2 linked regions of the Drosophila melanogaster genome follow. The protein of the gene in region 2 purifies or fractionates together with the protein of the main gene of each other region. This does not show direct contact. Each region holds a gene or a part of one and is shown on either strand. Other genes may lie near its edges.

Region 1 (17,999 bases), on a different chromosome or scaffold from region 2:
TTATACTGATTGCTTAAATGTGCATAATTGAAGCTTTGCCGCTGGGAAACCGGCGACAAAGCTCTCATCTGAGAAGCTCCTAAAGGTTACTAACCTATCCTATGGATATTCCACTCCTTAATTATTTTGATAATATGGCCAGCAGCTCGTCGCGGTTGAAAATCCAATGATCTCTTACATCGAAACGTATTGGTTCGAAAAGCGTACTGAACTAAAACCAAAGAACAGGCAACTTGCCAATTCTTATCAATGGAGCTAACTCAAAAAGTGATATCAGTAAGTAAATAAATCTTAATTGAACATATTTATGAAAAGATAATAGGGCGCCAAGGAATTAGTAAACGTTGGTGCTTTACAGCGTTATCGGACACGATCTGCCAATCCCAAAAAAATCACCTGTTACACCAAATGCAGAAAAAATTAAAAACAACCATGCGAGTTCTTTTTCTCATTTGCTAAATTATTAAGCTTTAGTTTAGCAAACTTGTTTTTTTTTTGTTTTAATTACTTGTTTGTGTTGGTTTCTTGTTTCATATAGTACATTCTATCTCGATCTATATATTTAATAATATATATACCATTACTATTTTTATGTTTTCTTCGTTTAAAATCATCAATTGAAGTTCAAGGATTTGCGCTTTCATCGTTTCGATCCGACATTGACAATATTTATGTCTAGATATATATATATATATATATAAGAATACATATATATATATATATATATATGTATATTAAGAGTTCCAAGAAAAATGATGTGTGAGAATTGTAACTTATGGACAAAAATTCAAAAATTTTATCATTTGCTTAAATATTCTTAATATTTGTGGTTGTTTAGCATATTTTAAATATGTATGTGTTTGCTTGCATATCCTTCAACTACGCGCATCGAATTCATAAAATATAATGATGGGTGAGATGGAAATGGAGGGCGGCTTGGGCTGGCTATACATGAATGTAATATACTTTCGCGATGGACTTGCACAGTTTATTATTAACGCTTGCTCCTGGTTTTTGAGGTTGTGAGAGAGGAGTGAATTGCTAAACGAGGGTGGGGTGGAGGGTGCATCTGTGTATCTTTTCTGTATTTTCGTGATTTGTGTTGCGCTGCGCACAGACAGTTTCTCTTTCACATTTGCTGTTCCTATATAGTATACGTGTGTACACATATATAGTTGTTATCGACTTTGTTTTACTCCGTTTGGTTATTTGCGAAAGTGGCTACGATGCGACTGCTGATGCTGCTGCTGCTGCTGGCCCAGGTCCTTTGCCTGAAGCTGAGGCCTTGCTCATTGAGCCCACCAGTCGGGTGCGTTCGAAGAGTGCGAGGCACTGCCGCCGCCGTAGGAGCCGCCATAGGAGCCACCACCGGCGCCGCCGCCATAGTATCCACCGCCGCCCGAATTGCCGCCTGTAAAGGAAATCCACTGTTAAGTTTCTGCCTTTAAACTGATTACTGCTGATGGATGATTCCACACTCACCAAACTTACCGTACGAGTTTCCATTGCTGCGGTAACTGCCGCCGCCGCCTCCTGATCCGGAACCACCGCTACGTGGTGGCGGTCCACTGCGTCCGCCACCGCCGCCGCCAGAGCTTTGACGGTAATCCCTGGAGCCGAAGCCGCCACCATAACGTCCACCACCGCCTCGTCCAGCCCGCTTGGCTCCGCCATGTCCGCGATCCGAACTCATATCCTCCATGAAACTGGGGATCTCCTGCTTCGTTTCGATCAGCAGCTCCAAGAGATCGGAGCAAATGTTGCGGTTCTTTTCGTTGAAAAAGGAGGTGGCCACACCAAGATTACCCATACGTCCGGTACGCCCGATACGGTGGACATACTCCTCCACATCCGAGGGCAGGTCAAAGTTAATAACGTGCTTAACGTGCGGAATGTCCAGGCCACGAGCGGCCACGGCTGTGGCCACCAGGATGGGGCAGTCGCCCGATCGGAAGCAGCGCAGTGCCTCCTCGCGCTCCTTCTGCGTGCGATCACCGTGGATGCTAGTGACGGGATGATTGCACTGGTACAGGAACTCCTCCAGCGAGTCTGCACCCTTCTTAGTCTCCACAAAGATCAGTGTTAGGCTGTCTTTGGTGTATTCGGGGCCATCGCGGATAGACGAGAGCAGATCCAGCAGATACGAGCGCTTGTCGGGTTCATAGACCCACAGGATTGTCTGCGTAATGTTCTCAGATGTGGAGCCCACACGACCAACGGCCAAGAAAATGTAGTTGCTGAGGAAATCGCTGGCTAACTCCTGGATCTGCTTGGGGAATGTGGCCGAGAACATAAGCGTCTGGCGCTGTCCGGTTGGCGGCATGTTTAGCTGTTCGACGATGCGACGGATCTGCGGCTCGAAACCCATGTCCAACATACGATCAGCCTCATCCAGTACAAGGAATCGAATGTTCTCCAGTCCCACCTTTCCGCGTGTGATCATGTCCTCTAGGCGACCGGGTGTGGCCACAATCAGATGGCAACCGCGGTCCAGCTCGCGCATCTGCTCGCTAGTATTGTTTCCGCCGTACAGCACTGCCGGGCGCATCCGGGAGCGATAGGCGAACTTCTTGGCCTCCTCAAAGATCTGGGTGGCCAGTTCGCGGGTCGGCGCCAGCACCAGACCCAACGGATACTGCTTGCGCCGGCTGTACTGCCGGGTGCTTTGCGGCGGGGGCACATGTCCCAGCTCGTACATCTGGTTGAGAATCGGCACCAGGAAGGCGGCCGTCTTGCCGGATCCAGTCTGGGCGCAGGCCATTAGATCCCGGCCATTGATAATGATCGGAATGGCGTGCTTCTGCACCGGTGTCGGTTTGTCATAACGTGCTAAGGCCACGTTGTTGCGGATAATCTCCGTCAGCTGCACATCATCGAACGATGTGATGTTCGGGGGCACATTCTGGCCCGTCGCCTCCACGGGTATATCCTCGTATTTGTCAAAATTGATTCCCGTATTGCCCACGCCGAACAGCTCCACCTCCAGGCGCTCATCTCGGGCGCCCAGCTTTGTGTAGTCGACGTTTGAGCCGCCGCCCTCCTTCCAGCGGCTGTTGTAACCGCCGCCTCCGCGCTCGCCGCGATTGTTGTAGCTTCTGTTGCCGCCGGCAGACTGTCCGCCCTCGCTGCCATCGAATCCGGCAGGACGTTCTGGCTCCTGCCAACGATCGTTGCGCGGCTGCTGCTGCTGCTGTGCCTGGCCATCCTCGGCAGTCTGCTCGTTGAGGTTGCTACCGCTTCCGCCGCCACCGCCGCGGTACGATGGTCCGCGTCCAAATCCTCGACCTCCTCCGCCGCCTCCGCCGCTGCGATTCCAGTCACCGCCGCGACGCGAATCGAATTCACCACCTGCAAAAGTAATTACATTTTCTCTAATAATATGGGCATATTAGAGGACCAAGTATAAGTCGTACGCATTACGATTTTAAGGATCATTACATTATGGAGCTGTAAAAATTAATTAAATGTCCTTGTGCTTCTTGATAGTGAATAGACCACCTGTTAGCCAATAGTACCCACCGTTGTAGTTGTCCTCGAAACGTCCACCGCCTCCACGTCGTCCTCCGCCGCCGCTTCCGTAACCGTAGTCGCCGCTCTGGCGATTGAAGCCGCGACCACCACCGCCGCCGCCTCTGCGGTATTCGCCTCCGCCTCCGCGCGACTGTTGAGGGTCCCTAGTCTCCTGGCGCGGATTCCCGGATCTGGAGTCGAAGCCCTGACCCTGGCCCTGTCCTTGGCCCTGGCTCTCTGCGTCCGCTGCGTTGTTATTGCCACCACCACCACGAAGGTGCGGGGGCACATACACACCACCGGTGACCGAGTTAGTGGAAGTCTTGCTGGTTATGGGGCCGCTGTAGTCAGCAGAGCCGCCATTCAAGTCCAGACCAGCAACCTGCAAGTGATAAAGATTAAATGGTTAGTCTTCTTCAGAACTTGTGCAAAAAATGTGGCATCAAATGTGGTTTCCTAACACTTAAATTATAGGTTTTGTTCTATTTTTTTTGTACTTAATCATTGGTTTAAGATTACTTTTCTTTGTTATATACCAAGTTTACGGGAACACAGTGCATTTAATGATAAGATCTATACCAGCAATGCAAAACTAAGCTACACAAATAATCTTTGCTCCACTAATACAATTGATTTATAGTACACATGGCCAATTAACATATGTTGCCTGTAAGTTAGCCGGCACCAGTTCAAGAATCAAGTTCAACAGTTTGGCAAAAGATTCGCCGGGGAAATTTTCTCCAGAACTGCCAAAATGAATTCGTTCCCGCTTAGCAACATGTGCTATTTACCGCTCTTCCTCTTAGCAACGCAACGTGTATATATACATAGATACATATGTATGTACGTGCAAATCTCCGGAATACACAGATAGAGAGAGGCGCAACTAGTTTAAAGCTTCGAATTTAGTGCTCTCCCTGTAAGCGTCTCTCTCGCACTCGCAGGCAAGCTATTACACAAAGAGAGTCCGCCTGGTAACCCAACAAAAACAACACGTGAACGAGCCACCCACACATGGGAAAACAAATCGCACCGTAGGGGCAAAACACAAAGCCCGGTTGCGGGACCCAAGTGGACAGAATGGTGATGAAAGCAAGGGAACTCTTTCAAGAACTAGTTTAAATGTATACAATGATTATTATTCCCGTATATCTTGTAATATTCAATATTTTGCCTTCTTCATTTATATTAATTAACAAAGGCAGCTAAATATGTAATTCGCAGATTTTGTGGGGCGTCACTTAACGGCTAGATCGTTGCTAGATTCATTGCGTGCATTTGAGGCATACAGAAATAGTAGTATTTAACTAAACTATTTCCATTTGAAAGCATTAACGTTTGTTTATTTCACATCTCTAATAAAGTTTAATTCTTTTTAAGGACCTAACAAAGGCTTGTTAAAATAGTGTATGTAGATTACATGCTTTGCTTTTCTTCCATTTTTTTTTGCCAAATCACCCTTGAAATTAATCACCAGATCGCTTACTCCTGGCAACCCTATTTACAACAGCTTCCACATGTGTGAGCAAGCGAGAGAGAGCGAGATATAACACACACACACGACCAGCCTTAGAACAGCGGCACTGCTCGCACACACGACACACTCAACGTGAGAGGCCGAATGGAAACTTTCATATGTATATATTATACATGTCAAATTGGAGGCAAGCGAGCAAAAATTATACAAAAGAAATTACAAATTGGAATGACGAAGAGGGACCCAGGCGCACACACACACGCACATATATGCAAGCCATTGACACCGACACAATTCACCGTTGTAAAACGAGCGATAGAGACATTAGTGTGTTATGAAATCAATAAATTTCTAGGCGAACTTTTTCAAATAGCCGCATGAGCATCACGAACACACACACACAGCCACCGCATACACATGCGTGTTCCATTCTTATATAGATGGTAAATGGTATTTTCAGCAGTTAAAAACGCTACTTACTTGCTGCTCTAGACCTGTGCCATTTTGGTTAATAGCATTACTCATATTATCCTCCAATCAGTTGCTTTTTTTTTCTTGCTTTCCGTTTAGGAAAATTTTGCAATGGTTACGCTTTGAATTTTTTTTTTTGAATGCACACTTGCAATTTGCGACAAAAAAATGTATACGATCGTTGTGTTGGTGTTGCACTTTGTGTCTATACGTTTTTCCTTAGTTTTTCCGACAAAAAACTTCTTACGTTCCACAAGCTACTGCGTTCTCGTGTGAAATTTCAGGGTTCTTTTCGTTCCTCGCACACAATTCCCTTTGTTCGGCTTGAAACTGAGACGTTTCCGTATCGGATTTGGCTGGCCTGCTTGTGCCAACAATTACAATTACAAGCGCTATGGGCTTGGAAAATGCTGCTTCTCCGACGAGTTCACGTTTTTTTCCGCTTTCAGACGCGTGTCTAAAAAATCAGGGCTGCTTTAGCACGTATATCGATGAGGAATCGATAGATGCGGTCGGTGGAGGTAGAGCAGAGACTCCAACCTGGGCTCTCGGCGGCGGTTACTGGCAAAGACTCCGGCAAGGGCGTTGCCAGATCTATATCCTCGTCTCGCGGTCTATGAAATTCAAATTGAATTTTTTCACTTTTGCTTTTTCGGCGCGTCGATCCCTTCTAGGCTGTTGTTGTTTTTTGAATGGAAGAGAAATGAGGCTGGGCAGTTAAATTTTGTTTCTTAAAGGCCAAAAATGTTTGTGTTTATGTTTAGGAATAGTTGTTTATAAGGCGTCAGCCGCTGTACCCCATTTCGTTATTTGAAGCAAAAGTCAAAGAAATTCAAATTAAATTTGAAATTTAGTATATATATGTGATTGCCGTAAAATAGGTATTAAAAATTTCCAAACAATTCCATACTCAAGTTCCCTCCAAGTCTGTTAAAGAAAACTAAAATTCGAAGTTTCGAACTCTGGAATATATTCATTCACTTTCGTCTTCAGAATATACATATTGTGAATGTACATGTTTATATAGAATAAATGCTTTTGGTATTGGCCTTAGCTTGAGATTAGTTAGTGGAACAATAAATATGGCTATAAAGTATCGTATATATGTATATAATAATAATTTTCATATCGTTCAGCCCTTGAGCAGGCAGCGGGAGTAGAACTCCCGGTCGATAGCGTCGTTTGGAATGTATGAGCTCCACTTGAAGATCAGCGCCAGCGTGTCCCCGGCGGACATGTGATCCAGAGCGATGTTGAGGAAACAGTTCCAGTTGTAGAAGAAGTGGCGTCCCAACTGTTCCTGTTCCACGCCAGATATGCACTCGCAGTTGGCGCACACCAGTCGTCCGCCGCGTTGCAGTTCCACGAACTGTTCGAAGCAGCGGCCCCATGCGCTCACGCTCAGTTGTTTGCCCACGTCAGCCAGAAGTTCGGGGAGTCCGTAGTTGAGGACGATGGCCACCACTTTGGTGAGATTCTGTTCGGCTAGGTAAAATTTAGCTAAGACGTCTAATAGTGCCGGCACTGATTGAACAACATCAAAGCACTTCAGTTGCTCGCCACGGGACCAGAAGTATCGCAGGAGCACTGCTCCAAGCTCATGATACTGGCAGGAGGTATCGAAGCGAAGGGGGAACGAGCAATGCTCACACTTGACAATCTCCGCATTTTGCGAAGTATTTAGCAGCACAAATCCGGCAGCTATGTGATCCCGCGTAGCGTCGTCCACTTCCCAGATCATCTCCGGATCCAGGTAATCGAAATACATCTCGTAGCAATTGCGTTGCGCTTGGTCAGGCGTATCCCCATGCTCTACCATCACCTGGGCTAGTTTCTCGAGCAGATTCACCAGCTCGCCAGCTGCATACTCGTCGAAGACAGCGCGATAACGATCGACGCACTGCGTCCGGCTAAACTTGGCGCTCTTGGCGATCAGGTAGAGGTTGTAAAGAGTCTTCTCCTCGGGACTGATGTGGGGAACCTGGGGAGCCGGTTTCTTACAGCGCCTAACAATTTCCTCCTCCTGATCCTCGCTTCCCGACTCGTAGCGTGCTTTGATGTCCTTGAACGGCAGAGAACGCTCGCTGGCTGGAATTAGTTCCCTGACCAACTGCTGCTGTTCCTCGGCAAAAATATTGAACTTGTATTTTATGATGTTCTTGCCGAATTTACCAGTTACCGTCAGCAGCGCATCCTTGAAGTGTCCCGTTTTGAGAGGCTGCTTCAAGTTGTCGCAGAATGCGTTTTCCAGCACGTACACTCCCTTCGGCGGAGCTCTCGATGAACTTCCGCCGCTCAAACTGCGTTCAGTGGTGGCTGAACTGCCTCCCGAGCTGTGCGTATCCAAAGCACTGCCTGTGCACTGAGTTATGGCATCAAATATCACGGATATATCGTTCAACAGCTCGTACTCCTGCCGCTCGATGAGTAGTTGTTTCAGCGGATTGAGCTGTTTAAGTTCGTAATCCTCGCGAGCCTTGTCCGCAAAATATCGGACATGCTGGCGTAGTAGATTTGCGCAAGGCAGCAATTTGGATTGTTGTATAAGAGAAACTGCGTGGGATTGCAGCGTCTGCAGCTGGACACTATAAAGTGCGCCAGACTGCGTAAACACAAAGATCTCCGATCCCGAGGAGCGGCAGTCGGCGATTCTCTCGAACTGATTGGACCACAGCACCACCGCCGATCGTCGAATATCAAATATATATAGTCCCAGCTCTGTAAAGGCCAGCAGAAAGTCATCGTTCAACCTTTGTACCTTTGCGAACTGCAGATTCTGCGGCTGATAGTCCAGCAGCTCGGCATTGGCGTCCAGTTCGTCTGTTCCGCTACCAGGTCGCTGAATCCTTGCCGGTGCGGTGGCTAGGGCCGTCTTGAACTGGTGCGTCTGTATCACCTCGCCCTCAAAGTCCACCTCCCACACGCGACTGCCTGGTCGGGCGCAGTAGATACGAGATGGCTGCAAAGACTCCTGCGGCGAGACGAAAAAGCAGGCGCCAAAGGCTCCATCCCGCGGACGGTTACCAATCTGAAAAATATGACATGAGGTAAAAGTTTATCGATTGTATGTGATCAGATTGGCTTAGCCACCAGCGCACAAACGCACTTGTTTGTAATCCTCGTACTCAGTGTTGCACAGAATGCACTTGGTGCAATTGGACACCAGCAGCAGGTACTCAAAATCATCAATTTGGACGATCGGAGAGTCCAGGTAGAGCAGCGGATGCACTGTCATGTTGAACAGCAGACTGTGTCCGATGAACGAGGAGAGCAGCACGAGGCTGACTTGTCCGCGAGAGTCGCCATAGTAGAACTGCTTCTCGTCCTGCGTCCAGTGGATGCATGTAACCTGCACCGACTGGTCCAGGTGCGTAAAGATCACCTGCGGCGTGGCCTGCGCGGACAAATTCACGGCATAAACACAGATGAGCGAACGTTGCGTTGCAAAAGCCACATATTTGCTATTTGCCGATATGCTGAGGCTGGTGATCGCTCCATGCTTGTTTGGTATCAAGAGCAGAAACTTGCCGTTCCGATTGAACAGATACAGCGATCCGGATGAGGCACCGAAAATGATATAGCTGTCGGAGATGTCGAAGCAGGTGTACTGAAGGGAGGAAGGGCGTGCATTAGTGAATGGTCTGCTATCAAATTGCGGGTGAGACTCAATTGGATTGACTTGCTCTCACCTTGATGCGATTGTGGTGTTTCAGCGGCAGCGACAGCGACAGCGAAAAATCAATAAAGTTCGTCAGGCAGTAGGCGTCGGCCATCTTGTGGGCTTTTTCGTTGTCCGAAGCGTTCGTTAATCACATAGCTCGCTTTGAAATCGCGATTACGTTATTGCATTGCACATCGCATGCATTTATTTACAAAAATTATGTTTTTATCAGCGCGACGAGTAATTCGTGTACATAGGTCGTTGGAACTGTCTGGCAGCTCTGTTAGTGCTGGCAGGTGGTCGATAACAAGTGGAGTGTGATTAGAGCGATTACTTTTTATTTCAAATACTTTGTAATAAACTTGTTAGTGTCTTAATTAAAACAATTCAAATCTTCAATTTGAAATGTATATTAAAATCAAAAGTTTCATGAAATCACAGACGTTAAAGTATCGATACATTTAGTGCTGTAAAATGACAGCTGGCTTGTTTACCCTTATAAGCTTCAAGTCTGGCAATACTGCGACCAGCAGCTGTCGTAAAACTTATCCTTCAAACTTTCAATTAAAATACGTTTTTCTGAAAAAATCGCTTATCAAACTCCCATACATAAAAATAAAACTATTATTACACAATGTTTACTAAAAAAAATTGGATATTTACCACCCAGCCGAACAGCTGTTCGCTGCTACCTCCCCCAACCCATAAACCTACTGTCAAGTAAACGTCAAAACAGTCGCGCGACTCGCCAAGCGAAAAAACCTGCAGAAAAATTGAAATGCGGCGTGAAAGATACTAGAAAAATAACAAATAAACACCGGGTATCCGCAATTAAAACGCTTATGTACATAGAAGCCAAAGTGTAGCAATGGGCGACAAGGAGGAGCCCGTAACACCCGCTCCCTCGCCCACGGAGGAGGGTATGGCCAATATTGGGTCTGCTGGAGCCGGGGATCAGCCGCAAACTTCAGGGAATAATACCAACGTTAAGATCGTGATCATTGGAGCTGGAATGGCTGGCCTATCGGCTGCAAATCACCTTTTGCAAAACGGCTGTGACGATTTCCTTATTCTGGAGGCACGGGGCCGGGTGGGCGGACGCATTGTGTCCATACCGCTCAGCAATAATCAGAAGGTACCATTTGTTATATAACCCCCTCAAGTCCAAAAACCAAAACAAACCATCATAGGCGACCATATGGTATTAAAGGAAAAACACTTCCGACTCGGAAAAACCACGAGCATGTTGTAACACATTCTTCGCCCCAGCCAGTTGATTATAGATTTTTCCACGGACTGCGCAGTCGGTCAGCTGTTCACGCTTTTCATTAAAGCTATTTTTATACATGTTCCTGTTCCCTCTATTTGCCTATTGTTAGCTTTATTTGTTACATATGCTTACATGGGGGTAATTAATGTAATTGCATCTGTCGTGAATCTTACTCACGATTTTCATTCCGTTCATTAGCATAGTTTTGATCGGTTTGGCGGCACCTTATCAAGAAATTTGTTATACAACTTTCTTCGGCAACGTTTGTCAGATTAGATAGGGGTTTTCTGAATTAAGCCAATGATGACGTATCTAGTGCAATGCCCTGAAAAACTCACGGGTTTGCGGGCTAACGATCACGTAGTCTTAGTTATGGGACTGAAAAATTTATTATTTTTCCAGTTTTCCACATTGTTTCACTTCACATGTACTAATTACGCCCCTAAATTATCTAATATAGGTCAGTTCTTATCTTTTTTATACTAGAAAGTTAAATGTTAAGCTTTGCCTACTTATCTGAGATGTTCCTATTTAAACACTTCTATTTCACAGATAGAACTTGGCGCCAACTGGATACACGGCGTTCTGGGCAATCCCATCTTTGAGCTGGCCGTACAACATGGTCTAGTCAGCGTGGTCAACGTACCGAAACCGCACAAGGTGGTGGCCACCACGGAGGACGGGCACCAGGTGCCTTTTAACATACTTCAGGAGATCTACGAGGCGTACGTCTGCTTTCTGAGGCGGTGCGATGAGTATTTCCTGTGTCAGTACAGCCCGCCGCCGGATATACACAGCGTGGGAGAGCACATTAACTATGAGATCGAAATCTATCTGAGCGGGGTCCAGGATCCCAAGGAAAAACGCCTCAAGCAATCCATATTTAACTGCCTGCTCAAGCGAGAGACCTGCATTACCGGCTGCAACAACATGGACGAGGTGGATCTCCTCGAACTTGGTAAGGCTAAGCTAAAAATAAAGTATATACAATATGAATATATATTTTATTTTAGGCAGCTACACTGAGCTACAAGGAGGCAATATAGTGTTGCCAACTGGTTATAGCTCTATTCTGCGACCGCTGGGTGCTCAGATAGCCAAGCAGTCCATACTGACCAAATGCCCGGTGAAGAAAATCCACTGGAAGCGGAAAAAGACCTTCACTGGGCTGGAGACAGTCGACGAGAACTCGGAGGACGAGCATTCAGACGACTCTGAACGAACGGTGACGGAAGTGCCGACGGGGGAAATTCGTGGCGCCTCCGTGGAGTCCAACACCAGCAGCAATTGTGATTATCCTGCAGGCAACGTGCGCATAGATTGCGAGGACGGTCGAGTGTTCCATGCAGCCCATGTGATATGCACCATACCGCTAGGCGTACTGAAAAACACCCATCGCACTCTCTTCGATCCTGTGCTGCCGCAGTACAAACAGGAGTCCATCGAGAATCTCATGTTCGGCACCGTGGACAAGATCTTCTTGGAGTACGAGCGACCATTCCTCAGTGCCGATATATCAGAGATTATGCTATTGTGGGACGACGATAAGCGGGATATGAACAGCTCCGAGGAGGAGCTGGCCAGCGAAGCGTATCTCAGCAAGAATTGGTTCAAGAAGATATATTCGTTTGCCAAGGTGACGGACACGCTGCTCTTGGGCTGGGTCTCGGGCCGGGAGGCGGAGTACATGGAGAAGCTCGACCATGAGGCAGTGGCTGAAAAGTGTACGGAAATACTTAGGAACTTTCTGCAGGATCCTTACGTGCCCAAGCCAAAGCGATGTGTTTGGTAAGGCAAAGAAACATTATTTGGTTAAGAATGTTGTATATTAAAGAAAAATCTATTTGTAGTACCAGTTGGAAGTCGCAGGACTTCACCGGTGGCGCATACACCTCAATACCGGTGGGCGCAACTCAGGAGGACATCGAGAACCTCGCCCAGCCCCTCTATGCCACGCCCCAAGCCATGAAGGTCAGTTCTACAAGCTTGCTTCCCCGGCAATTGTTCACATTTTAATATATTTCCCCAGCCCGCCATAGTCTTTGCCGGAGAGCACACCCATTCCAGTTTCTACTCTACCGTACACGGCGCCTATTTGAGCGGACGGACGGCAGCGCAGCATTTGCTGGCGAGCGATGAGCCAGACGAAATCATCATGGAGTCGGACGGCAGTGATCTGAGCGCCTGGATACAGGGCATTGCCCTGGACTGAGTCTAAGCTAATCAACGACCACTCATCGATTTTGTATTATAATTTATTAACGTTATTTTGTACACTCTTTAAACGCTTTTTAGCTAGTGATATTTAATTTGTTCGATTGTAATTTATTTTGCTAGCGTCGTAAAACGATTTAACTCATTTTTGTACATCCCTTGTGAGCATTTGTTTTATTTTGTTGATGCAATTATTTTGTAATTTATTTGGAACCCGCTTGTACATTACTATAAATAAAAGTTACGAATTAGCTGAGCTGATCAATGTGCTGCCAACTCGAACAGACCGTGCACCCGCAGCAGCTTTCACTGTACTTGGACGAAAAAGTGTGCACAAAGACATAATGTTGTTTAGACCTAATTACCGATTAGCAACCATAAGTGTATGAATACAAATATATTGCCTATTTTTATAAATTCGTATTTAACGTAGAAAAGGTTGCACCAAAAGGTTGACACTAAGACGATCGAACAATGAGTGCAACTAATGTATATTTGAAAGTAACTATTGTTAACGTTAACTATTTTGCTAACTAAATTATGCATTGGTTGACTCTTTAAGGCGGAAAAGGAAAAGTTGGTATTCATAAGTCCGTTCTAACACTTGGATCTGCATATTTATTTGTATTTGTGACAAAAATATCGACTTGTACGCATAAATAAATAAATTAAATAAATAAATTATTGAATGAAAATGTATAATTTTAAATAGTAAAACACAAGTCGAAGAAAGTTTTGATTTTTTAACGATGGGGAGAGATCTGTATTATAAAAATCAAGTTGTGCTTTTGGTTTTAGGCCAACAAAAGTCTATAATTCAAAACATATGTAGATATCCTAAATTATTTGAAAGTCTTTCGCATTGCACTCGTAAATTTTTTGTGGATACATTTACTCGAACTTAGCTAAGGTGTGGTAAAAAAGCTAATAAGGATAAGGTAGGTGGAAATGAAAAGGATTGACTAAGCTGAATTCAAGAATGCATTAAAAATGGCTTGTAAAAAATTCGACAAAAAATCCTTCGAGCCGGATTTGAACCAGCGACCTATGGATTTCTATTGCATGTTTTCCAACTACAGTCCACCGCTCTACCAACTGAGCTATCGAAGGGGGCGTGCTGGGGAGTAGGTTAAACAACGGGTATCCGATTCATCGCGACTCTTCAATAAACTTTTGTTGGTAATCGGTTTAATTAATGCGTATTTTAGCTTTTAATGGATTGAGGTCACGGACAGCATATGCCATGTCGTTCAAATACCTTTTCTTTTGATTGTTGCTAAGCTAAAATTAAATAATATATTGATGTACGCGTAAAGTAAGACATGTTCATTTTCACGTGTTTTTAAAATTGATATTCTTCAAATTATTATTCATTTTATATAACATTGTGTTTATAAAATGTCTTTTGCATCTACATGTTTATAATTGCATACTATTTTATATATTTTTTATGGGGTACGGGTGCTACTATAAAAACAAAAACGAATTGGATATTACAAAAAATTACAAAAAATCCTTCGAGCCGGATTTGAACCAGCGACCTATGGATTTCTATTGCATAATTTTCCAACTACAGTCCACCGCTCTACCAACTGAGCTATCGAAGGTTGAGTTCAAACTTGGCCGTTGTTCGTTTTATGCATGCGCACAAACGAAATGCACCGTATTTGGTTATTTATTTTTGATTTTTACTTATTTAGGTCAAACAAAATTGATCAACTTTCTCTATTCAGTCCATTGCAGTAAGCCTATAGTTTCCAAGCCTAATAGCCTAGGCGCTTTTCACAAACTATATCAATTTAGTTACGGTTTATTTCTTCCAAATAAAATCCTTCTTATATTATTTAGTTTAAACAGCTCAGTTATATTCTGAATGTCTGTAGATGAATTAAATTGATTTAAATTGTGCACTACAAAATATATAAAAAAAAAGGTATGTGCACTACAAAATATATAAAAAAAAGGTATTTATATCTTTTCGATCCTTCGAGCCGGATTTGAACCAGCGACCTATGGATTTCTATTGCATGTTTTTCCAACTACAGTCCACCGCTCTACCAACTGAGCTATCGAAGGTTAAATTCGCTTGCGGCTAATTCACCTTTTGTTCAGGAGCGAGGTGGGGAAAGTGACAAAAAGAGAGGGCACTTCTCTTAAACACCGCTGCTCTTTAATACTCGCGGCCAGAAAAATAGGACCTTAAATTCTTGTAAACTTATATTAAATACTAAAGCATTGTAAATCTTAATGAGAAAATATTCAGGTACAACTGTTCATGGCTTAATTTTAGACCAAAATTGTGCATGAATTTAGAAAGGCAGCAATGCACTATTTGAAACTAACTAGTTACCCACCCACAGCTGTGCACCGATAAAGGGGTGGTGTGCGAGCAAAGATGCCATATTTATACATATATCCATCTCGTTCCAGCGCCGACGATAGACGATACCGATACTTTGCGAGTCCGCTCCCAAGATTGAGCCCCCACAGCGTAAAAGCGACCGAAGTGCCGGCGACGAGAGCAGTTCGTTCCCAGAAGCCGGCAGCAGTGGTCCGTTGATAACTCCGACTCGAGCTACTTATCCACCACGTCGATACTCTTGTCTGTCTATTGCAAACATAGAGGAGTCACCCTTTGGCTAACGAATCCGAAACTCCCGAGTTTTGTTGTGCAACATATCAAAAACCGCATTTGTTCGGATCCAATTTACATTCGCATTTCAAAGATGTCGTACCACAAGCCCGAAGCTAAGACCGTCCAGGATCTGAAAGATCTGGCCCAGAAACTGCGAATTCACTCTATCAACGCCACCCAGGCCTCCAAATCGGGGTAAGTTTATCAATAACTGAAAGTCCATAGGCATATTAAAGTGTGCGTATTTAGATTTGTTTGTGTAGATGTGAATTTTAAAAGTTGTGCACCTTGCACTTGTTGCTTCAAAGGTGACCCCCTCCATTTCCAGGGTGGGTGCGAAAAAGTTTTTGAGGGGGCTGCTAAATACATACATACATATGTATGTGTTTTGAAACATTACAAAAGAAAATAAAACAAAAATAGTTACGCATATACATAGTTATGCATCTATGTTTGTATGAATGTGAGAAGTAAAATATGGGAAGACCGGTTCCTTTAGTGACCCCTCCTGGGATTCAGTTGCCAACCCACGTGTTGTCCAGTAGCTTTAGTGAATTTGCGAATTTGTTGCCCTGCCTGCGTGCTCAGTGATAAGCCGCGTTCACCTACCTTAAATTGTGAGCTAATATTTTTTGACCTTAGACAACCTTGAAACGTTAGGTTTTTCTTACTGCCTTTTAATTTCTTTTGCTTTTGTTTTGTGCGTGGCGTTCAAAACGCCGAAAGCACATACATATGTACATGGGGTAAAAACAAACATACTTACATATCAAACAGAGGCATTTAATATACGTATGTACATATGTACATACAAGTGTTGGAAAGCACAGCTTGTGACGGGAGTGGAATTGGAAAGAGAGGGATGAGAATAGTAATGGAATGATCCCCTACACTTGAGATTTACGACTGTATGGCTTTTAATGTAATTATATCTCGGATAGACGCGATCAAATTATTACTGCAACAGTAAATAAAAAAGTTACTATGCTGATAAGGAAAACACTTTTATCGCCTCCATTAGTTTTTCCATTCTGTTTCGTTTTTTTTTTTTTTTGTGACGGTTCAAGATAAGATCTGCTCTGTTTGCTCTAAATGTGACCTCTGCCGACGAGATAAGCCCGGTTTGGTTACTCATTGACCACGATATGACCGATTAGAGGTGACCAGCTCAAGTGTGTTCCCCGCATGATAATCGAAAATCACTGAAAACTGATAAAAAAAAAAAAAGCGCGCCGGGTCACTGCTAACACTCCGTATCACCTTCAATAGTTCTTGATATGGCTGCAGGAAACGGGGACGCACTTCGGAACTATCTAGAAGCACGTGCGTTCACAAAGATCGCCATGCAACACAATCGTGGAAGCCAAGAATTTGGTTTTTAAGGCTATTATTTAGGTTTTTTGGTGATCAGAAAAGTTCAAGGTCCCAGAAACCGGTGAGGAATTGCGATGGACTCACGTCGCGACAAACACACATATCACACCATATAACGCCAATAAATACATATGCATGTACTCGTTATAGTTTATTTATATGTCTGGGGTAAGACGAGCCCCCCATTTTGTCTGGGGTTGCGTGTTTTCTTTGCGGTTGGAGTTGTGCCAGATCTGCGATTCAAAGCAATTTTTTTTGGAACACGATCGCATGGGAACATTGAATTCCAAGAATGGATCTTATCTTATTTATATGTACATTGCAATTGGATACTCGAGAAATCTTCATTTGAAATATGAACAGAGGGGGGGGGGGGGGTTTAAATAAAAGCTTCAATAGACAAATGGATTTCTTTTATTAAACAACGTTTTTAACAAGTATGCACAGTGTTCAGTTCCACTTTTCCTTTGTTGATCGGCCTTCACTTACCCACCGTGAGGTCGACTTCTATAATTCATTAGGCACTTACCTTAACCTAGAACTACATGCAAACGAAATGCCTTGTCACAATCTAATATTTTGCCTACTTTTCCCTCTTTATAGCCATCCCACATCATGTGCCTCGATCGCTGAGATCATGTCCGTGCTGTTCTTCCAGCAGCTGCGCCTGAACCTGAAGCACCCACGCGATCCCTCCAGCGATCGCTTCATCCTGTCCAAAGGACACGCTGCTCCCATTCTGTATGCCGCCTGGGCTGAGGCTGGTCTCTTCCCCATCGCGGATCTGAACAACCTGCGCAAGATCGACAGCGATCTGGAGGGTCACCCGACGCCTCGTCTGAACTTCATCGATGTGGGCACTGGATCCCTGGGACAGGGTGTCGCCGTCGGCGCTGGCATGGCCTATGTGGGCAAGAACTTCGACAAGGCCGACTACCGCACCTACGTGGTGGTGGGTGATGGTGAGTCCGCCGAGGGTTCCATCTGGGAGTCGCTGCACTTTGCCGGCCACTATAAACTGGACAACCTTTGCGTGATCTTTGATGTGAACCGCTTGGGCCAGTCGGAGGCCACCTCCCTGCAGCATAAGCTGGATGTTTACCGTGATCGTCTGGAGGCCTTCGGCTTTAATGCCGTCGTTGTCGATGGTCATGATGTCGAGGAATTGAGCAAGGCTTTCCATTGTGCTGCAATCACCAAGAACAAGCCCACCGCCATCATTGCAAAGACGTTCAAGGGCAGGGACTTCCCCAACATCGAGGATTTGGACAACTGGCACGGCAAGCCACTGGGCGACAAGGCCGCCGAAGTGGTGAAGCATCTGGAGGGACTGATTGTCAACAAGAACGTCAAGCTGACCCCTAAGCCGGTGCCCAAGACTGGTGCT
Region 2 (15,229 bases):
CTATTTTCCGCTGGACAGAATGTGTAAATTTTTGGCTGAGCATTATCAAGGGAGAGCGAGATGAAAGATAAATGATACAATTACTTAACCAGATCCGTTCTGGATGAGTTTTAAGGCGTGATCCGAATCTTGAAGTATACAAAAAAAATACTCTTTGTCGAAGAATTTAAGATCTGAAATAAAAATGAATGGGAGAATTTATTTTAGAGTGTGAATAATGCTTAAATTCTCCTTAAAAGATACTCTCAACATACTTGTTAGAAAGGCGTAATAATCATGGCAAATAAATCATATTTAATGAATTCAACAAAAAGGCATGCAACAGCATTCTTGGGTGGCAAATGTTTTCCTAGTTATTACAAGATACTCTAGAAAAAAGAGGTGAAGAAGGGTGGCTTACTTGTACTACTTATCAGCACATTAGCACACACACGCACACACACACAAGCTGCATGGCAATTAGCAATGCGAAGGGAAAACATTAATGATGAAATATTAAACAGGGCAGTGGAAAAGTGAACTATGTATAAATATTGCAACGAGGGTATGGGGGAAAATGTGGCCAAACCAGTAGATGGAGCGACTTACAAAATGCTCTTTCAATGTTCGTTGTAATTCAGCCAAAAACTGCAACAATTTGTTGTTGCTGCTGGTGCTGCTGCTGTTGCCGCTGTTGTTGTTCGATAACCATTTGTAGCAGTCGCAGCAACAACAAAAGCAGCTTGTAATGCCCTCATTGAGAATGGGCGTTGGGAAAGTGGGCGCGGTGCTCACTAACACAAGAAACAAAATGTTGACGTCAATTTCATTTCATTTTCATTCCCTGCTGCTGCTGCTGCATTTTCCGCCATTTGGTTGCTGCCGATAACAACTGCACAGCAGCAACACAAACAACACAAACAACAATCGCACCAACTGCCAAACAGTATTTAGGCGGTTAAATATATATATGAACTACAATTGCAGCAGCGACATGGCACTTAGAAAAATGAGCATTGCATTTCGAGGGAATTAAATTCGATTCAAAATTTGCACCGATAGGCTAAGCGCCTTAAATGGAAATGAAAACCGAAAACAATTTTTTAATAGTTTTTGTTGTTATGTTGCGAAAGGATTCTCTAAGGCGTCTAAAAGTAGGCAACATATTTTTGTTTTGCTGATTTTGCCTGCTTCAAACAAGTAGAACCTTTTGCTACTTAAGAGAATGTCACACATTTGTTACGAAACCCAAAAAAAAAATTGCCCAGTAACCTACGAGCAACGTATATATTAAATGAATTGCAACAATATTGTGCAACGCTGCACTGTGCGGCAGCTGTGTGTGTTGGTGTGGGTTGAAGGAAGCGACGTGGGCGTGGCTGTAGGCAGAGGAGCGTCCAAATTGATGGGCGGTGGGGCCAGGGGGCGTGGGCGAAACGTGCGACATTTGAAACAGAAACCGGAAATTGGAATTGCAATTTATGCTCATCGCGTGTTGCACATTTTCTGTTCCGCTCAACTCAGTTCGGTTCAGTTGAGTTCGTTTCATTTCGCAAAGGATTCCGTTTAGTTGGCTGGGCTACAGATTTCATATCATCTGGCATAATCTATTTGGGGGTCATAGGCATAAGGTCAACACATGCCATTTATTTTCACCCCCCCCCCTCCCCCTTCTCTTCATCCGCAAAACGTATGTAATTAGATGGGCTGCCCGCCCCACAAAAAGGGGCATCCTTAAATGGGTCAACGGCAGTTTTCGGAATTTTTGGAATTTTATTTATGGTTCAAATGCGAAGAATTTATGTCGACTGTTGGGCGGGACACGAGGCAATATTAATTTTCGCAACATTTTGCGATCTATTTGGCGGGGGAAATTGAAATTCGCATTTTGGCAAACGTTTGCAAATGAAACTTTCGCAAATGTTTTGTGGCGGAGAGATTTCTTGAAATCATGGCAAAGTATACGCAAATAAAATCTTAAATTTTTAGTTAATCCCATTTCGGGCTAGATAGTTCTTTTCACTTATCTTCAATTTTCAAACATAATTTCAAGCTGTGGCTTATGCGTGGTAATTTTGTTGCAGCATTTTAGTTTCCATCGTCTCTGGATATGTATTAACGTCAGGACATCGTCTTTAATTAGTCCAGCAAACTACAAGTTTTTAAACCCATCTAAGCCGAGCTTTCGTTTAACTTGTAATCTTTAATTACGTTAACTACAGAACAAAACGGCTTTGTCACTGGAACTAACAAAGCTGACAACTAAAATGGCCAAGGGTAGGGCAGCTTTAAATTACACGAATGTCCTGTCAAAAATACTTAGCACCGACTAACAAGGACTATATATATATGGGAGCTTTGAGGTCAGAATGAAATTGCCAGAGACAGCTGTAAATAAAGTGGGTAGCATGAAAGACACCACCGTTTTAAAGTGCCATTATTTATTGAGTACATCGAGGCCTGTAACTTCGTCCTTTCTTTTTCAATCCAGAACTTCCTTGGCTTTTTTTCTTTTTGCCTTTGGTTTTCATTATTCGGAGCGTTTTCGGCGCATGGAACATTTGCTGCCCAGCCAAGCGAAACACTCGGAATGCTGGAGAGCTGGGGTTCCATGAAGATTTCGGGGACCGTAGTTAGTTTCTTGCCTCCTTCCAGGTGACTGTGGGCAATGTCCTGTGGCGCATGATAAACGCAGTTAGGCCCTTTTTAAATATATATACATATATATATATATACACGAACAGCCCCCGAAACGCTTGGCTTCAAGTGGCCAGTGATATATATTCCGGTATAGCCATTTTTTGTTTGATAAATTTAATAAATCAAGTGATTGTTTTGGCTGGAAATGCAATCGTTTGTACATAATAGATGGCATTTTATTTATTGCCCTGCCCGCCGGCTAATGAATGCTTATTAATAACCCGATTAGGGTGAAAGCAAAGCGGATTGGATTTAGGTCCACATAGAACAAAATAAATATCAATAGATTTACGCATTTATATAGCAAAATAGTTAAAAAGGATAAAACCAATCGTAATGAGTTATATTGTTAAAAAGATTTCCAAAGCTACAATCCTGTAATAATAATTTAATGAGTCATTTATTCTGTTAATAAACACATTTCTTAATGTGGTTTACTATTTTTTTTCTGTGTACAAAAGTCATCTAGCTCATATTCAAGATCTACTCAAATGAATTCCCAATCAAATTAGGTCTAATCGAATCAGCCAGTAGGCAATCGCTGGTTCCCAGTCACTGTTCTAGGATAATTTAATTTTAGCCCAAGAAAGAAAATAATATACGAACACCGCCAAGGATAAATTTTCCTTGTTTTTTTGGAAGTGATGTCCTGAAAAGGGTTTTACCAGCCAACAAGGAAAAGGCACTATCCTTTACCGATTGCGAGCGGAAAATGTGAGTCCGAATCTGTTTTCTGTTCGCACAGATGTTTACGCGGTTTAAAGCTCGTTAGCGCCCCCGGAAAATGGAGGGGGGGAGGGGTGTGGTTTTTGGGTTTATGCAGAGGGTTGTGGTTCGCCGGCTGAAACATTTTGCGGGGTCTACAGCCCGGCAATTTGGAGTCATTGCGGCCTCGGACTTGAGAGATAATAGAACTACGACCGCAAATATTGCCTACAAAAGTGGGTTGAAGAAGAAGTAAATGGGTAGATAAAGGGAGGTTTGTTTGCCCAGCATTGTGGCAAAAAGGATTAATACCAAAGCAGATTAGATTGTCAAAATGCGACAGCTTGCCGCCGCTGCGTGGGAAATTTCCTACTCACCACTTTTTTTTCCCATCCAATGGGATTTTGACCAAAACCGAAAACTGTAACAGAGTTATCAACATTTTGACAGCTTCAATTGCGGAAGAACAACAGAATTATGCCAAAAACAATAAGCCGATTTCAGGGCGAACTAGCTAGAATTAAGTACTTAAAAATTGCAGATTTCGCAAACGAAAGTCAGAACTTTAATTTAATGCCATTTATGTACATCAGTAATAAGCTTAGATGGTTTATTTAAGTTGTGAATTAGTTGTTAAATATGAATGAGTTAGAATGATTAGCCCAATGATACGAACAATTATACATCATAACTGAATGCTATAATATATTAAGGCTGTGACCCTTTTTGCTATTATTTAACAGGCAAAATACTTCATCGTAGCTTAATGAAGTTTAAAGTTAGTTTATAAGCCTTTCCCTTTAAGCCAGTTGAGTATCTTTTGGCCCACACATTTTGCAGATCAATCACTCACCCAAAATGCTGTGATTTTTCCCAACTTTGGACAGGAGTCTGGCAGCATCCACTAATGAAGTTGGTCTTCAAGGAGCTAAAAAACAATTTGTATACCAAAAATGGCAACAACGCCTTTAGGAAGTTTTTTTTATTAAGCTATCAATCAGTCTGCAAAAACTTTTAAACAGTAGAAACCTTTAAGAGAAGGACAAACCAGAAAAAAAATCAGATATATTTTTTATAATATACATAATCAATAAAAATTACAACAAATGTTTCCCTCTTATCCGCATAGCCATAAATATTTGTGAGTATTTTTCAAAATTCCTAATCATAATCAACATTTGCAGCTTTAACAACAAAATTATGATCGGCAGATACGATGCCAAAGAACCATTTTCATTTGCCGCCTAATGGATTTTCCGGGGACCGACGAGTGGCTGCAGCACTGGGGCCGGAAAAGTGGGCGTGGTATTCCCCTGACATAGAGTTAAGGAAAGGAAAGGAAAGGAAAGGAAAGCCGCAGATGCCGCCGCAGCATGTGTGTGCGTTTGAGCGCCTTGCCACTTTCAGTTAATTCCCTTCACTTGGTCGTAAACTTTACGCATTCACTGTAATCAAATTTTATGAAATGCTCAGACCCAGTTGTCTTCGTTTTTGGCTCTTTTGTTCAAAGGGGATATTCACTGTGGCCATGTGTGTATGTGGATGGTGCACTTTAATGTTTGTACTATGGTTTTCGGATGGCTGAAGCTCTGTGTTTGCGGCCTTTGAGTGAAAATTTTGCGGCATAGATAATTAAATAATAAATTGTTGTAATGTCTACATTTGCGCCCTTCGACTGTTGCATTTGGCTGAAAGATCATAAATGATTTATATGCACATTGAATGCGTCGACAATAGATTTAATTTAACGATGTCTTGGCGACGATGATGGCGATAATGATGATGCCGGCGACGCCGCCATTTTGGCTTTGCTCCACCATGGCTTTCCCGCTTTTCCGCCTTTTCCCTAGGATTCTCCCCACACACACACACACACACACACACACCCGTCGAGGTAATTACGCGGAAATGGTTGAGCAGGAGGAAGGGAAATGGGCCAGCCAACATCAATATTCTTCCTTCATTCGCATATTAAATCTATGTCATTTTATATAAATTAATTTCACCAATGACATTCAATGTCTGCTCGGTCGAAAATGGATTATGAACGTAATATATTGCAAATATGGGGATGTTCTTTGATGTGTATTTGTGAACATATTAATGTGGTATCGACAACCAAAGCGAAGAACATCGATGGTGGCATTTAATTTGGAAATAAGGATGGGGATTGTTTTCTTGTATAATTATGTGTGTAATAATACCAGTTTGTCGTGGATTTTTAAAGTGAATAACAAGTTGTATAAGTGATAAATCATATTTTATATGATATCCTCGTTTTTTTCCCCACCTCCTGCGTAGGAAAACCTTGAACTGAGATGCTAGCCATTCATGGCCGAGCAATTACCGACTGCAGTTTGATTGAATTTAAATTCTCGAGCTCGCCTTGAGCACTCCTTATCTGAAAGTCAGTCGTGTCCTGTGACAACCTCTGCCTCTGCCTGCGCACATTTCTCTCCTTGGGCGAGTCATAAATTATCCTTAGATCACGCGCCAACAAAAGCGTTTCGTACACTTCACTTGCTCTGGTTCTGTAGTTTTCCCTATTGTTTTTTTCTGTTTTTTTTTGGTCCTTACGCAGTGACCTATACAATGCATTCCATTGGGAAACTAGTGGTTGTAGTTCCTGGCCTGTAGACCCTTAGATTCCATGATTCTATCGTTTTTTTTTTTATTTTTTAACTAGCTTGAATTCCTGGCAGTCACATGCCGACAGAGGCGCAGCGCCAAGATGATGGAAACAGCTGACATTTCACTTTCTTGATGCGATTACGCAGCGAGGAGTGCCCACTGCACCCCATCGCCTCCACTTGCTTTGCCACCCCCTCACTCGCCGCTTTTCCGGCCTTTTCGCCCACACTGCAAATTGCTTACGGTCACGTAGCAGCGTTGCCCCCGCCCCCCTCCCCTATGGCTCGCTTCCCCCGAAAGCCCTTACTTCTCCTTTTTGCTGCTGTTGCGCGACAAGAATTTTTTCGCTTCAAGCGGTGGCCAAGAAACTCTACACTGAGCAAAAATGTGTCTACATTGTATCAATGTGGATCATATATAAAGTATGTGTTTTTTTGTTTTGCAAATAGCCCAAATAAATTAATGTTCTTACTTCATAAAATAAAAAACAATAAAACTGAAAGACGGGTAAGTTAACTTATTAATTTTCTGACATTTAAATTTACTAAACAAAAATATTTTTTAAGCCACATCCTAAAAAATATCAATAATTTTCCTACCAACGCAAGCTGAAAAACTATGTATGAAAGGCAGGCAGGCAGTGTAGGAAAAAATGGGTTTTGGAGTGGGCAACAAAAGGAAAATGGTGCCAAACTTAATGAAAATACCAACGCGTCGTCATTTTGGCCGCAGAGAGGCTGTTGCCACGCCCCCTCCCCCCCTCCACCGATCCGCTGGCAACTTTCCACCCCCCAAGCCCATCCATCTTGCATGCCATTTTCCCGTTCTACCAATATGTTATTTTTCATGCGTTTTAGACGAAAGTGTTTCAGCCCACTGTGCGTGAGATACTGTCTTCTTTTTTTTTACTATCTGCCCCATCTTTCGATTTATTGGCGTTTTTTGATTTCTTGGCCCATTTTTCAGATACAGTAGTTTCTCTATTGTTGTCTAGAAAGATTTCATTTAAAGGTTGTAGTTAATTATTGCAGGGACAAACAATAATATAATAAAGTACAATTTTTTTTCAAAATTTTGGATGTCCAAATTATTAGGTATACATATTTATTTAACTTTCTTTACCAGTTTTCACTGTTTTAAAATTCGTTGATTTCTTGCTTCATTTTTGTTGTATATTGTTTTTCTGCCGCTGCTGCTTTGGAAAATTTGCATATCTCGATAGTGTCAGTAAATTTGCATATTTAAGATAAATTTAAATTCCTTGCATGTTTTGTTGTATTAACATTTTTTTTTTGTTCCATCCAATTTCATTTCGAGTATTGTCCTTTCTGTCTGCTCCTGATGCTGCTTCTTGTTTGTTGGTCCTGGCCCATTCTTCAAATTTTGTCGTTGCTATTGCAAATTTATTGTTTGTAGGCTTATGGGGCGGTGGGAGTGGCAGTACAGGCTGTCTTCATATATGTATTTATACTTGGAGATGTTACAGTCGCGAGTCAAGTAATTAGATATAAAAGCTTAATTGTAAAAAAAAGTTGTTATCTATTGAAATGTATCAAGCTGGATAAAAATAAAATATATATATATATTTAAAATCAAAGTCGCCGTAAAAGTTTAAATGTTTATATTTTTTCGCCCGCTGCTGTCTGAGTGGTTGGGTTTTATGTGGGCAGTGGGCGTGGCAGTGCTTTACAATGCGTGGGAGTCGCTCTCATTTCGATTTTTTCAGTTTTAACCCCCTATCTGCTTATTTTTCGTTGTCGTCATCATGCATCATTTGTTTAGTCCCTTAGTCCTTTGTTATGTGCCAAAAGCTATGGGGCGGTGGGTGGTGGTTGGTGAAAAGCGGGCGGAAGGACGTGTGGTGTGTGTCGCCCTTTTATGCGACGCACTTGTTGAGAATATTAATTTTATTTAAATATTTCAAAATAACACACTAGATGCTGTTGCTGGCTTTACAGTTTTTGGTGCACACGTTTTTATTTTATTTTTTTTTTTATTTTGCGCCATTTGCGTAATGAACTGATATAATGGGATTGGGAAAACTGACAACCATGTGTATCAAATTTGAAAAAGGAAAGTTATATAAACTTAGCACTGAAAATAGGCTTTTAAAATGGTGATTTTAATTGGTTAAATCGGATCTTTATTTTTGATTAGTGACGAAATGTAATGACGAAAACTTTGTATGCAATGCATATTTTCGAATATTTACAATGTTATTTCGATTTTTTAATTAATAATCTTGAATTTTATTCCAGAAAATAAAAAAAATATAATGCATGAAATTAATAAAATTGTTATAAATAATACAGTAGAAACCCGAAAGAGTTTCGTTAAACAGCAAAGCGCAAGCTAATAAGAGGCAATAAGAAGAGAAATTTTCTAAGAGAGTACAATTTGAAGAGAAGAAATATATACAGTAGCGGAAAAAGGAGTATGTACACAGAATATATTTGCTACACGGCCACATATCCAACCCGAAGTTAAAGTTCTTGTGCTATTTTATTAAGACCTTTATTATTATGCTACTCGCCGCTGAAAATTCTTTTTTACACAATGTTTAAACTACATAGAGTAAAAGAAAATATTTAATATTATGAGTCGCACCTAGACTATTTTCCGCTACTGTAGATTGCTGTAAATTAAGCGAGAGAGCGAAGAGAGCATTGCCGGCAGAAAAGGAAGAAGAAGAAGCTCATACCATTGCCGATTGCTGTCGCGTTGCGCTTTCTTCGTTTTTTTCGGCTGCGCAAACTTATATTTTGTCGTTGTAATATTTTGCATAAATATATAAATTAAAACGCGTGACGGAACAACAAACAAATAACGAAGACAGCAAAATAAAAGGGCGAAAAATCGAAACGAAAACGAGTCGAATTACTTTCAAGTGCAAATAGTGTGCGTGGGCGTGAGATTGTGTGTGTGTGTTGTGTTTGTGCGACTGTGAGTGCGTGTGTTTGTGTGCAAAAAAAAAACAGAACGTGCAACAAGAAGCAAGAAGAAGAGCCATCAGCAGCTGACAAACCAGCAATAAAACGAAATTTCAATAAGTAAGCAACATTTAGGCAAAGCTAAAATCCAAAAGCAAATCGAACAAGAGGAAAAACTACCTTTGGAAGCCCCGCAAAGCAGACGTAACAATGGCAAAAGCAACAAATTTGCGGCTCTCAGCTAATTGAAAGCGAATGTTGTTGTTTTAGAGCAATGCACTCGATAAAAAATACATAAAGCAATGGCATAAAAATACAAAAATAAGAACGGCACAGCACAGCAGACGAAAAACAATAATACAACTGGGAAAAACGAAAAAGTCAAATGAGAGAAAGAGAGAGAGAGCAATAATTATTTAAATCTTATCGCAGTGCAAATTTATTTTTCACCTTTTGCTTTGCTCACTTGTTGTTTGCCGGTGCTCTTTCCACCCGCTCTTTGTTCTCTCTCTCTCTACTCTCTTTCTCTTGTGCACTGCGCTCTCCTTCTCTATTTTGCTGTCATTGTCCTTAAATAAGCAATAACAAAAAATAGCAACAACAACAAGTGCAATTGATAAAAAGCAATAGCGTAAAAACAATTGAATAATTTCCTCCGCATATCAATAAATTATTGTGTGTTCCTGTGTGTTTGTGGCTGTCTGGCGGCATATAAATAAATTTGCAAACCAAAAAAAATTGGCTGGCCTGTGCTGTGTGCTATTTTTAATGCCAAAATGCAAATGTTGCAACTGCCGCGCGGGAAAGAGACAGAAACAGTGCTAAAATAACTCGCTGAATGCTCCGTTGCAAGTAAAAAAAACAATTTAAGACGGGTGGTGCTAATAATAATCAACAAAGTTGCTAGTGAAATATTAATAACAAATTATAAGCACGGCAAAATAAGCTGAATATGGCACAGAATGCTAAAAAGAAGCAATAAAAATAGAGAGTGGGAGAGAGAAAGAAGAGTGCAGAGAACAGTGTTGCCGTGCGGCAGTCAGAGCAAACGGGTTGGGCTGTAAAAAAGTGGTAGAAAAATAGACGAAAAGTTTAATTAGCAGAAAAAATACTGACCTCATTTTATACATTAAAATATATAATCTTTGTTTTATTATTTAATAATAATAATGATTTAATTAATTACAAACAAACTGTCATAATTAATTTAGGTTGAGCAGTTGATCTGTATAAAAAATGGGGTCTAGTTAAGACTGTATCTCCAATTAATGCAAATGTTTATATCTGCAACGTCTTAAGATTATAGAATATTTACAATTATGACTCATTCTTTCTAATCTGCATTATCTCATTTACTCCCCTTTTCGCAGTCACAAGTCAATTTAAGAGTGCTATTAAGAAACTAGAAAAAATGCACCCACGATACAGCCCAGCCCCGCCCCCTCAGCAACAGCAACAGATGGGCGGACCGCCACACCAGCAGCAGGGCGGCGGGGGAGGTGGAGGCGTTAGCATGAGGGGGCCATCGAATGCCCAGCAATTGCCGCCGCAGATTCCGAGATCCCAGAACTATTCAAACGTAAGTCAAATACATATTGCATCTTTATAATACAGACAATATTAGAATATCTATTATTTAACTGAAGTGTACAGTTTTACGAAAATGATTTAAGTCTTAAAACGTAGAAAGTCACCATTACCCCTTCGAAACTCGAAAGCAATTCGAAATAGCCTGTTAAAAAAAAAGTGTTGGGCAAACATTTAAGCAATCAGAGATCAACAAAGGCATCAATCAATCAATAGCTTCGTGCATCAATCAAGCAATCAAACGGCTCACTCGGTCGCACTCTCGCCAGTCAGTCATTCAGTCAGTCACACAGTCACTCACTCAATCGCTCATTCAAATCGGACTCAGGCTGATGATTTTTGATTCTGATGCTTCTTTCCACATAGAAGGCGCCATTTTTGCCTTGCGGCCGATAGGGGGCGCCACTGCAATCGACATGTGTCATACGCAGCGTCCTTTAAATCCGGGAAATGCGGGACGAAAATGGGTGAAAAATCACGGGGGAAAAACTGTGGGAATCGAGAAACCAGAGGGAACCGAGTACGCATTTGAGTGGAAAATTGCTCTCGCTGATGCGGCTGCCACGGCCTGGCAATGATATGGATTTCTTCTAACCATTTTCCCCATCAATTTCCTGACAGTTGCAGTGCAGGCAGTCTAATCTCTCGATGAGAGAATCGGGCCAATAGTGCCACATTATCCTTATACCTGAAAAATCATTACTGGCCAGCAAAGAAAGGAGCATTTTAGCTGGATTTCCTTTTTGCTAATTTCAATGGTATTACACGTTTTAAGGGGGTGTAATGTTTTGTGCATTGTGTAATTTCCATCATAATTTATGCATTTGCTTTCTAAGCATCAGCAACGCACAAAAAAAAAATGAAAAAAATGGAAAAAAAAATGTAAAGCATGAAATGGAAATCGCACAAAGGCAACATTTGTAAGTAGTACCCTTCGTCCTTCCTCAACTGACGAAATCCGGTTTACCTGCGTGTTATACGAATGCACAGCAAACGATATGGTAAAATTTGTTAAGGGATCTTTATATACGATCTTATCTATCAATAAAAAGTTAAAATAAAAAACAAATCTAATTAATAAACCATAATATCTACGATATAGTATATTTACTACACCGGTTTTTCCAATTTCTCTTGGTGTATATGTTGTATATATGTTTGCCATATAATAAACTATTCAAAGCTTCTGCGGCATAATACTAAGAGATGGGGGCGGTGTGTGGTACGAATCTGGGGCTGATGTTGCTCGTTTGCTGCGTTTTTAGGTAGCCCAATCCAATCCCCTCACCAGACTCCTTGCAATCCCTCCAGGTGTGCTCGCTTTGTAGGCAACATCTATTTGGCATCCTCTAATGGCCAACAGGCGTTGCTTTGGCTTTTTTTCACGGGAACGTTCTTTCATTTAAACAGCTTTCAACTTACGGCAGCAACAACAACACGCTGGCGGACCACATGAAAATAAAAATTCTGGGAAAAAGAAAAACTTGTTGTTGAGGGTGGTGAAAATACGGCAAAAATTGTAAACATTCGCGCTTAGTCAGCGCCTCAGTCGACGTCAGTTATTGTGGCTGGAATGAAAATTATATTTCGCATTTTGTGTCCTACACAGGAAAATGAAGAAAGGAAAGTAAATAAATAAAAGAGAAAACGGGCAAGTTGCTGAAGTTTATGGAGTTAAGAGAAGATATATATATATATATATATATTTAAAATTACTTTGGACCGCACTTTGTGATGAAAATGGGCGCGTTTTTATGGCTAAAAATTGTATATGTCAAGTTTGGAGAGAGTTTTGGATATTAAATTTTCAAAAAGTTTGAGTGGCCAAACAAAATCATTTCTTTATGACTTTTACTGTAGCTAAAACTGCAAGTGCAAGAGGATGTCAGAATCTAGGAAAACTCCGTTATCGCACTTTCCAGCTTTAGGATTTTTCTTTTTATAATTCTGATTGAAATTCCCATTTTGTTCATTATTTACATATTTTCAGCTCTTTCAAAGTTGAATCTGTGCATTCCCATTTTCCAACTGTCATTTAAACTAATCCGTTTGATAAACTAGAAGCTACAGAAAACGAAATATTTCCCTTCGGCATTCTCCGACTTGTCAGTCTAAGTTCTTATTTCCCACTTCAGTAATTAGGAAATTAAATACTTTCCTGCAGAGTCCAAAAGGAAATATCATTTACACTCTTTTGATTCGTTTTTCCTACCCCAGTTTTGGATTTTACCTGAATAATTTGTTATCCCTGCCCTTCTCATACCCGCGTATAATTTTCTCTTTGGCATTTTCTATTTGAGTTTCGTAGCCGAAAATGTTTCGAGAAAGAACTTTACAGTGTTTGAGTTTGTGCGCTAAAAAGTTTGTGCAACACAAAATATTTATATTTCTTATATAAAAAAAGTTTTGTGAGCTTGGTCACGTAGTAATTTGTGATTAAATTCAATGTTGACAATTGCAAGAGCAGGCCGAAGTTGTTAAGGTAATTGCGACCATATAGGCTGGGATGCATTTCAATTGAGCAAGCTCCTGCTGACCAGACGGCAATGATGGGGATATATGTTACTCCAACTCCGACTGAAATTGCAGTGCTGAATGGCATACGAAACGCCTTTGAGTTCTGCGCCTGCGTCGGCTTGTGGATCCTGTTGCTGGAAAACAATTTTGCCGGCTCCCCAATGCATTTGAGGACACGAAGTCGGGAAAACCGAAGCTGGAAAGCCGAAACGAATCTGCCAGGCTGAGCTGAGGCCTTACTCAAAAACCTTACTCAATGAGAAATTCAGAATCCATTCGACGATTGTCAAGTTCAGTTACAAACGCCTTTTCCTCATTTTGCGCACCACAAAAGCGGAAAGCGACCACAGAGCCCCAAGCACACTGAGATTGCCGGAGACAACCAACAGCCAAGTCTGAAGCCAAAATCGAATCGAAGTCCTAATCGAATATCAAATTCAAGCCCAAAACCAAATCCTACTATTAACAAATAGCCAATAGCGAGGAGTTCACGAAGGAGTCCTGCAAACACATCCTTTCAACACAGTGCAAGCTCGCCATTTTGTGTTTTTTCGAAATAGAAAAAGTTTTTAAAAGCCATACCGCAAGATTCTGCATTAAATATATACATACATATATTTATATTTCCATTTTTCCGTGCGTATACGTAATCTGCGTCGAAGTCAGTTCATTCTGTCCATGATTTACAAATATATTTATACATAATTAGCCACTGAGAGAACCGCGAAGTGTAAAGTGCAAGTGAAGTTCAGTATTATTTACAAGGCGTGAAAATCGAAAAAGTTTACACCAAATATTCTGCTCAAGAACTCACTACTCAAAGTAGTCCAAGGATTCCAGTCTCTCAGCGCAACAATTGTCAGCGAAAATTCCTACGAATCTTAGCCAACTAAGAACTCTAATTAAAGTCAGACGAAAGCACAACTACAAAGGGTTAAAAACTCTGAAAGTAAGAAAGAAATTAACTAAATATTAAAGGAATCTTCGAAGTGAACACCAAAGCAAAGATCTACAGTATTATTTTGAATAAGAAATATATAAAACACACTCTAAGCGATAAATAGAGACAATAAAGTTGAAATAAAAAAAACCAAATTAAATTTGTGACTCTAGCCTAAAAGTAAACACATAAACCCTAGCTTAATTGTGAGTGAAAAAGATTTAGCAAATTGCCATTAAAAAAAAAAAAGAAAACCAAAAATTAGTTGAAAAAGCTTAGCTTGAATAAAACAAATAAAAAAAACGAAAATAATTGTGTCTATCGATGTGTGTGCTTAAGTAACTGCAAATCAAGTAAATAAAATTTCAACTTAAATAAGTGTTCAGTGTTTAGCCAATATAAAATCGCATAGCAAACTAGTCAATGTTCTTCATAATAAGAAATCAATAGGAAAACTTCAAAACAAAGGCCCAGATAGTCGCAAATAATAAGGCGGAAAAAAAAAACCGACGCAAGCCCAGGAAATCAATTTACAATCAAACCTGCTCACCATTAGCCATTAAAATTGCGTCAATCAAGAGAAAAACCTCGCCATTGCCCGCAGCAACATCGAAGCTAGCCAATTTCAGCCAACAGGACCCACAGCAGGAGCAGGAGCAAAAGTCCGGCGAATTTAAGGCAGCAGCTGTCAGCCAATTGGTGGCAACAGTTGTCCAGACAACAACAACATCCGTAGCAGCAGCAGCAGCAGCGGCGGCAGGAGCAGCAACAGTAGCAGCAGCAGCAACAGTAGCAGCAACATCGAAAGGAGCAACATCCGCAGGAGCAACACAGCCAGCCGCTAAATATCCTAAGGCCAGCTCCTTGAGCCAGCAGCAGCAAACACCACCACCACCGCCGCCGCCGCCACCAGCAACAACAACAACAACACCACCACCACCACAGGAAGCCGCAGCGGCAGCAACAACAACAAGTGTTGCCGGGACAACAGGAACAGCAGTCGCAGCAAAGGCTAGCAAAACCACAAGCAGAACAAGCAGCAGCAGCAGCAGCAGCAGCGACAGCAGCAACATAAACAGCAGCAGCAAAAGCGGCAACAGCAGCAGCGGCAGCAGCAGCAGCAGTAACTGCAACAGCAACACCTGCAACAGCAGCAGCAACACCACCAGCACCACCACGACGCTGTACACGTGCTCCAGCACCTCCTCGTCGCTGATTGCCCAGCCGCCGCCAACAAAGA

Evidence for each region.
Region 1: the proteins of shep (region 2) and bel purify together in Drosophila melanogaster (affinity purification with mass spectrometry, with the first as the bait; one study listed by BioGRID). This does not show direct contact.

The regions. Positions count from the first base shown.
Region 1 is NT_033777.3:8,654,496-8,672,494, forward strand, and holds bel (belle), read right to left. Parts: upstream 6,267-17,999; 5' UTR 5,513-6,266; coding exon 5,468-5,512; intron 3,893-5,467; coding exon 3,520-3,892; intron 3,349-3,519; coding exon 1,483-3,348; intron 1,412-1,482; coding exon 1,290-1,411; 3' UTR 480-1,289; downstream 1-479. Other genes in the region: p (pink), read right to left, coding at 6,591-8,486, 8,565-9,065, 9,148-9,231; CG8032 (uncharacterized protein), read left to right, coding at 9,988-10,254, 10,942-11,347, 11,403-12,177, 12,240-12,360, 12,419-12,601; CG8036 (uncharacterized protein), read left to right, coding at 15,330-15,433, 17,216-17,999. UniProt on the Drosophila melanogaster protein: ATP-dependent RNA helicase that is essential and required for cellular function, larval growth, and for male and female fertility.
Region 2 is NT_037436.4:5,271,450-5,286,678, reverse strand, and holds the start of shep (alan shepard), read left to right. Parts: upstream 1-8,734; 5' UTR 8,735-9,065; intron 9,066-10,315; 5' UTR 10,316-10,356; coding exon 10,357-10,524; intron 10,525-13,344; exon of another isoform or gene 13,345-15,229.